2 linked regions of the Neurospora crassa OR74A genome follow. Each later gene encodes a partner of the first gene's protein in a complex. Links are inferred from orthologs where the notes say so. Each region holds a gene or a part of one and is shown in the gene's direction. Other genes may lie near its edges.

Region 1 (3,884 bases):
AAGACCGTGCTTCTTGAGGGTCGAAAGGAGGATGCTCTCGGTCATCTTGAGACCCTCGTAGAGGTTGACGAGGTCCTTGAGGTGCTCAGACTGCTCCTCCGACTTGAGCTTGTCCTGAGGAACCACGCTCAAGGCGCGCTCGAAGTTGTCGACGCTTTCAACGAGGTCCTTGGCGAACTTTTGAATGGCAAAGTCCTTGGCCTGCTTGACGTCGCGGGCGGTGCGCTCCTGGAGGTTGCGGAAGTCGGCGACGGTGCGAAGGCACTTGTCCTGTAGAGAGGGGCATCCCGTGTAAGTGACTTGTCCATCATGGCTGTATGTGCATATGCTTTGAAGCTCAAGAACCAACCTTCCACTCGCGGGCCTCGGCGTCCTTGGCCTCGAGCTGCTTCTTGAGGGCAGCAACTTCATCGGTCTCACCCTCCTTCTGCTCGGCGCCCTCGTCGGCCTTCTTCTCACCCTCAGCCTCGGCGCTGTACCACCGGGCGGCGGAGCGCAGCTGGGGAGCAGCTGTCCGGGCAGCTTGCATCTGGAAGATCTGGGAAGCAATAGGGCGCTGGGCGGCAACGCGGGCGCCGGAGCAGAGGGCTCTGGAAGAGCGGGTGAGGGCTGTTCGTAGCATGTTGGCTGGGTATCTGGATGTGACGGGTGGTGAGATGTGGCGATGTCAGAGACAGGGAAGCGTCGCGTGTTGAGAGAGGCACTTTCTCAGAAATTTTGAGACAGCTGCGCTAGCACGGGACGGAGACGGCATGGACGGGCGGCGGGTTGGGCGGCCAACAGGGGCCTTCGCAGTGTCTCCCACAGTGGGATGGTGGGAGGGTGGGTGCTGCTGCTGCATCAATCCTGTCGGCCGGCTGGGCGGGAGCGAACCGAAAAGCGGGTCATGAACGGACCGCCCAAAATCGACGAATTGCCTGCCGGACCATCGAGTTTTGCTCAAATCGACAATTGGAGCTTCGACACCTCAGCGCCCCGGGTGTGCCTGGCGGGGCTCTTTTGTGCGGGGGAGTCGAGATGGACCTGGCTGCTCCTACCTACTCTGTTAAAGACACGCCGTGGAGTTAGCCAACGCCAGGTCATGTGAAGATAAGGCCAGCTTAATCCTGGTCACTTTGTCTGCCCGCTGCGGCCTCAGCCAGAGGCAAGATTGGCGACTGGCCGCACTCAGTCCTACCATAGGTGGTGGCGCCTCCGAACCTCGACCCGTCAACGCGCCGGAAACCGAAATCAGTCCGCAACTTGCATTTCGCATCAACCGGCCCTCAACAAAGGCCACCTCAACCGCAACTCACCCTGCCTCGAACCACAACTTCCTGAACCGTTTCTCCCCCCGCATCCAAATTTTATCATACACCACAAAACGTACCATCGAGAACTGCCGACTGTAGCGAGAACAACTGACCGACCGCCGGTCAACACGCAAAGATGGATTACGATCCGATGGTGATGGACGACGCCGAGTCCCTGGGACCGGTCGTCAAGATCTCACAAGTATGTTCTGTGTGCTCTTGCTCACAGCAATTGCGCTCAGCTGCTCGTTCATCGTTCTAAACCATCATTCTAGGCGGACAACACCCGAGTCAAGTTTGAGCTCTCCAACACCGAGCTCAGCTTCGCCAACTCCCTTCGTCGCGTCATGCTTGCCGAGATTCCCACGATTGCCATCGATCTAGTCGAGATCGAGGCCAACAGCTCCGTTTTGGCCGACGAATTCATTGCCCACCGCCTGGGCCTGATTCCACTCAACGCCGAAGGTATCGAGCAGCTTCTGTATTCTAGGGACTGCGACTGCGACGAATACTGCGAGCATTGCAGTGTGACCCTCAACCTTCACGCCAAGTGCACTGGCGACGACATCATGCAAGTCTGTGCCCGCGATCTTGTTCCAGTCGGCGATCGCGTCAACCAAGTTCTCGGCTCGCCTATCATCAATGATCCTGAAGGCCAAGGTCCCCTCATCCTCAAGCTTCGTCACGGTCAGGAGATCAAGCTCCAATGCATCGCGAAGAAGGGTATTGCAAAGGAGCATTCCAAATGGGCCCCAAGTGCCGCCATCGGCTTCGAGTACGATCCTCACAACAAGCTGCACCACCTCGACTTGTGGTATGAGCAGGATCCTAAGAAGGAGTGGTAAGTACATTCCATCATCTTCACTTTTTCCAATTCCCTTTGATGTGACCGATGTCTCACCATTTTGTTTTTCTCTCCAGGCCTCCTTCGGAGTACGCCGACTGGGAGGAGCCTCCCCAGGAGGGCGAACCGTTCGATTACGATGCCGTACCACAACGCTTCTACTACAACGTCGAAACCGCCGGTCCTATTCCCCCTGATGCTATTGTCACTGAAGGCATCAAGGTCATCCAGCAGAAGTTGGCTGGTCTGATCCACGAACTTACCGAAAGCGATGGTGGTGAGAACGGATACAACGGACCGCGCAGCCCAGGCTACAACGAAGGTGGCGACAACTGGAACGACCAAGGATCGTTTACGCCATATGGAAACGGAGGAAACCAGAGCTCTTGGGGAGGTCAGGGAGGTACCACGCCCTACGGAGCGACTCCCTACGGAGGCGGCCAAAACCCTTGGTCTTGAGCATCATATGCTTACAGTTTACGATTTGCGACGTCAATTACTCCTCCTGATGGCTTGCGAGGTCATTGCGCCTGTCTTTTCCGGGAGGTTTTGGGTATCTGCGGTATCTTTGCGGCGCGAGTTCGAGCTGCGCACTTCGATTAACAACACAACACTTTTACCATTCAAACAAGATTGAGATTCGCATTCCTATACACACACTCGCGCCATCACCACCAGCTCAGCATCTACTTAGTAATCGTGGCGCCTCCGTCTCTTACTGCGGGGACCGTAACTCAACCACACTTTGTGGCTGAGGCCCACGGAACGGATCAGGGCCAAATATCGGACTTTTGGCGCTAGGCACGAGCCGCCACGTCAAGGTCAATTTTGGGGGAAACTGGGAAAAGGAACTTTGGGAGCTGGATCTTGACATTAGGGGAGAGGAGAGAGGCGCATTCTGAAGGGATTCAAGTCAGGGCGAGAGGAACCAGAGCATATCTTATTTGAGCGTCCCTCGTCCAGACACCACATATACTAGGCAGCGGAACGAGGACAGCTCTCTCTGTTATTGGCACCCTGCAAATGATCTATCGCACAATTGCGAGGTATAGACAAAAGGTGAATATAGTTACCATGGTCTGGCGACTACATAGGGGACCAAAATACCCAAAAAAAACATTCATAAACGGTTCGAAAGTGCGAGGTTCATAAAAAATCAAGATGCCATTCTCGCCGGTTGCTGGAGTCTAGTAAGCACTTGCTGCTCTGGTCTATTTGCTTTACACAACTCTGCAGGAAACACCAAACTCCCAGGGTAAGACTACATAAAGCCAAAACACCATCGAAATGACAGCCCTACCGCCGCTTCAATGCCTGACGGATGAGGGAACATCTAACAAAGGAAACCTATGAACAAGAAAACATGAGGTATCGCCATCTAGGTCCTGACAGAAAGACCACCACTCGGCCTCTAAAATGCAGATTTCCTCTATACAAATCCGGCCATTATGTCCCCACCCACAAACTTTTTGATTGAAATGCATTTGAAAACCCGCTGTTGCTGCTGCTAGTCCGTCTAAGAAGCAGACTCCCAAGACTGGACATGGGAGGAAAGGTGAAGAAAGAAAGAGAGATTAGAAAAGGTAGGTAGCCAGGAAGAGGAGCAAATGACAACTCATTCCTCAATGCCCTTGACCTTCTTGTACATCTTCCGATGGCCCTCCAAGAAGATGAAGGTGCAAATCGTTTGTCTGTCCGCGTCAATACCTCGTTAGCACAATCATATCCATGAAACTTTCGCGGAAGAC
Region 2 (3,305 bases), on another chromosome or scaffold:
GGGTAGTTTCGAGAGAAGGTCACCATAAACGTAGATGGCACCGCGAGCGCAACCGATGACGAGATCAACGAACTGGATTTCTGTGCCACCCTTCTTAGTTGTTTGGAGAGTCGGGCGAATGTCGAGGCAAGTAACCAAATCCGGCACGCCGAAAGAGTGGAACGCGTATTCGAGGTCATCAACCGCCTTGACGGTCTTTCCCTTGGACTTCAAAGTGCCGATGTGTAGCGTCTCCTTCGCGGCAGCAACAATGAGTCTGCCACCAGCAGCGGAACGAAGCAATTGCGGGTTCTCGTCGTATGTGTGGATAAGCTTGCCGGTCTTCTTACGGAGGGCCTTGAGGTCGTAGGCCACGATTTGCGCCGAGGACTTGGTCAACTTCTGGAGAATAAACAGGACATCTTCTTGCTTGTCGCGGATATCAACCGATTCGACGGTCATGTCGAGGACTTTCTTGACGTCAATCGTGAAGGGTGTTTCGGCGCCTTCACCTGTCGCCCAGTTAAGGTGCCAGATGCGGCCATCTGAGCATGCAACCCAGAGGAATTCGGGTGCGCTGGCGGATAGCGCAGACGCAACGATGTGGGGAGAAGAAAGTTCGGCGCCGCTGTCGAGCTTGGTGATGGGAAGGGAGATCCTCCTGACGAGCAGGGAATCCTCGGTGGAATAGACTTGAATTGATGTGTTGTAGGTGATAAGGAGGTATCTAAGTCGCATTAGTAGAGCCCCTGCCTGGGGGACTGGTCTCAAACGAACCGTTCATCCAAGGAAAATATGGGATCGATGTCGAGCATGCGGCCGCCCATAGGATTCGATACCTTCCATGCCGATGTGTTGCGCGTCGTCAAGGTATTCGAAGCATCCGTAAGTTCCAAATCGCCATTGGTCGTTTGCAAGTCTTTGTTCTCGAAAAGGGTGCTTTCTTGGGAGTCGGTAGTATCGTCAACATTGCCATTGGCGGCAGCAGGCTGGGTCTTTGGTTTCGATCGTTGCCTTTTTTGCGAAGCGGTCGTCTCTTCCTTGGGCTCTCTCTTTCTCTTCTTGAGCGAGGCAGTTTCACCATTCGCATCCATCTTGGGCGCCTTCGAGGTCTTGCGAGGAGTGCGTAGCTCCACCATCTTGTCCTTTGAGTATATGACGATGCAAGTCTGGCAAGGAACACACGATTTGTCGTACCGAGCTTCATGTCCGCCTCATCCTCCCAGCAGAAGAAATTTTGGCGGAGTACCCTTCGAAAAGTTAATGTGGGGCAGCTTTCTTATCGGTGATAAGGCTGAAGTGACCAATCAGACCCTAGAAAGTCAAATTTGCTGGGGCCTTCCGACCTCACAGGTAAAGTTGCCGCCTCGCCCTTCAAAGTTCATGCTGAAACTTGCACCGTCACTACGACCAATCTTGCACCACCATCTTGCCAGAAGCCGGTCGCTCATCTGCCGCGAACATCGCCATCCCGCCAAACACTTTTTTGTAGGCTTTCGACTCGCTAACAAAAATGATCATTCCAATCCGATGCTTTTCGTGCGGCAAGGTACGCGACGCGACGCGCCCCGCTTCCTCCGCCATTTACCCGTTAACAAGGTTACTGACTTTGGCACATAGGTGGTGGGTGATCTCTGGGAGAGATACCTGCAGCTGATCGATGGCGAGGAGATCACCGATGGGTATGCGACATCTACAAACGACTTTCGATTTACAAATAACAACAACTGACAGACGATGATTAGTGATGCTCTGGATCAGCTCGGCCTCAAGCGCTACTGCTGCCGTCGCATGGTCATGACCCACGTCGACCTCATCGAGAAGCTTCTCAAGTACGTTCTTGTGGACTCGCCGCGCTGGACCTTGGTGGCTGACTACGCTCTAGGTATACTCCCGATGGTCGCAACGTCAAGAAGATCGAGATGCAGACACGCAATGAGGAACAGGGGATGTAATATGCCCGAGCGGTCGAAGAATTCATCATCAACTATTCGGGAAAGCCGACCACTCTATCGTCCGGGAAGAGAAAACTGCATGATCATTAGGCGTTTGGGAGTATTAAGACAACTGTACCGGGCAGGGTATAGAAGCGGCCCTGGTCTCGCATCCAGGAGGCCGAAAGCAAGAGCTTGATTTGGTTGTGCTTTTCTTTGGGTTAGAACCTGTGGCGTCAAGGTGCATTTGGGACAACTGTTTCTGGTGTAAGTTCTGTTGGCGGTTAGGTCTACCGGAGCAACATGGCCAGACACAACAGGCTACCTTTTCGGTTTGCAACTACAGTTGAGAGGTTGTGGTACCACGGAGAGCCATTGTCTTTAGCCGGAACGTGGTACTTGCTCCGTGTGGCTAGATGTGTCATAACCAACCACATCTGGTTATCTACATTGGCGACTTACAAGCCGTCATGCTCGCCTGCGTGGTTTCCAACTCCTCGGGTTCGGATGTCTTTTGGGAATGGTGGAAAAGTCTACCGCTTCGGCTGGGCTGGACCGATCGAATACGAAGCGACGCTCGGATTGGATGGTCCTTACAATTTGTGGGGGCATCAAGCCAGTGCAAGGGATGATGGCGCTGGTGAACAAGAGACATTCGCAAAAGGTAGCACGGCCTTCTAAATCACACGTCTCAGTTTATAACATGGGTACAGACTGGGGTAGCCTACGCTATTCGCTCAGATGAGTATGCTGAACGTCATATCTTTCAAAAGTATTTCAAATTCAGCGCCCGGTCAACTCTCTCTTTATGAAGAATTATTCATCTGTGTAGCTTCCACATCCGAATTCCTGATAATTGGTTCACCCATGCCCGTGTCCAGTGACTCGAACTGTATGTATGTGGCAGCGAAGTGAGCGTTGGCCCTGTTCCTAGGCCCGGTTTGGACGCCACTCGGTCAGAGATGCTTTTGCGTTGCTCATCGGTAGCAAATATACTTCCGAAAAATGAGCTTTCGGATTGTCACAAACTTGAACGTTGTCTTTACCGATATGGACCTACCCTCCCACCAGCCGTAGACTTGCATCGCCGGTCAGTCTACGACTTACCTGTTCCCTCAACCATTCATGTCCGTACAAGTGATGGCACGTAAGTTCTCATTTCCAAGACGGTGTAGGAAAGAATGAAGTTCATACTCAAGTGATCTTACCATATCTGTGTAGTAGCCACTTTGCTTCAATATCTCTAGTCTCCTTTGGTTCGTCTCCCCATCCAGTCTTCCATATCTTTTAGCTGATCACCGCCGGATCAGTGTCGTTGGGTCTCGAATCCATCCCAGCAAGTGTTCAATATCAACCGGCGCCCCCAAACGTTGGGCAAGTTAAATTGGCGTA

What was found.
Region 2: the proteins of NCU01515 (region 1) and NCU02605 are in contact, whole or in part, in a crystal structure (PDB 3K1F), measured with the Saccharomyces cerevisiae proteins. The link is inferred for Neurospora crassa OR74A from reciprocal best matches to the Saccharomyces cerevisiae genes RPB3 and RPB10. Residues at the interface, in NP_012243.3 of Saccharomyces cerevisiae: Asp16, Asn17, Val57, Leu58, Phe62, Arg66, Leu69, Ile70, Pro71, Thr110, Asn112, Tyr114, Gln135, Asp136, Glu138, Asn140, Gly141, Val142, Leu143, Ile144, Cys145, Lys146, Leu147, Arg148, Lys149, Gln151, Ala168, Lys169, Gly171, Ala174; in NP_014853.3 of Saccharomyces cerevisiae: Met1, Ile2, Val3, Pro4, Val5, Arg6, Cys10, Gly11, Lys12, Val13, Gly15, Asp16, Lys17, Glu19, Ser20, Lys42, Arg43, Ile57, Glu58, Phe60, Leu61, Arg62, Tyr63, Asn64, Pro65.

Annotation. Positions count from the first base shown.
Region 1 is NC_026502.1:3,218,624-3,222,507, forward strand, and holds NCU01515 (DNA-directed RNA polymerase II polypeptide), read left to right. Parts: upstream 1-1,188; 5' UTR 1,189-1,428; coding exon 1,429-1,494; intron 1,495-1,567; coding exon 1,568-2,133; intron 2,134-2,213; coding exon 2,214-2,595; 3' UTR 2,596-3,317; downstream 3,318-3,884. Other genes in the region: NCU01516 (mitochondrial co-chaperone GrpE), read right to left, coding at 1-270, 350-622; NCU01514 (mitochondrial dicarboxylate carrier), read right to left, coding at 3,752-3,827. UniProt on the Saccharomyces cerevisiae protein: DNA-dependent RNA polymerase catalyzes the transcription of DNA into RNA using the four ribonucleoside triphosphates as substrates. Component of RNA polymerase II which synthesizes mRNA precursors and many functional non-coding RNAs.
Region 2 is NC_026501.1:2,876,122-2,879,426, forward strand, and holds NCU02605 (DNA-directed RNA polymerase I/II/III subunit 10), read left to right. Parts: upstream 1-1,395; 5' UTR 1,396-1,492; coding exon 1,493-1,528; intron 1,529-1,599; coding exon 1,600-1,661; intron 1,662-1,724; coding exon 1,725-1,811; intron 1,812-1,864; coding exon 1,865-1,934; 3' UTR 1,935-2,743; downstream 2,744-3,305. Other genes in the region: NCU02604 (hypothetical protein), read right to left, coding at 1-706, 757-1,118. UniProt on the Saccharomyces cerevisiae protein: DNA-dependent RNA polymerases catalyze the transcription of DNA into RNA using the four ribonucleoside triphosphates as substrates.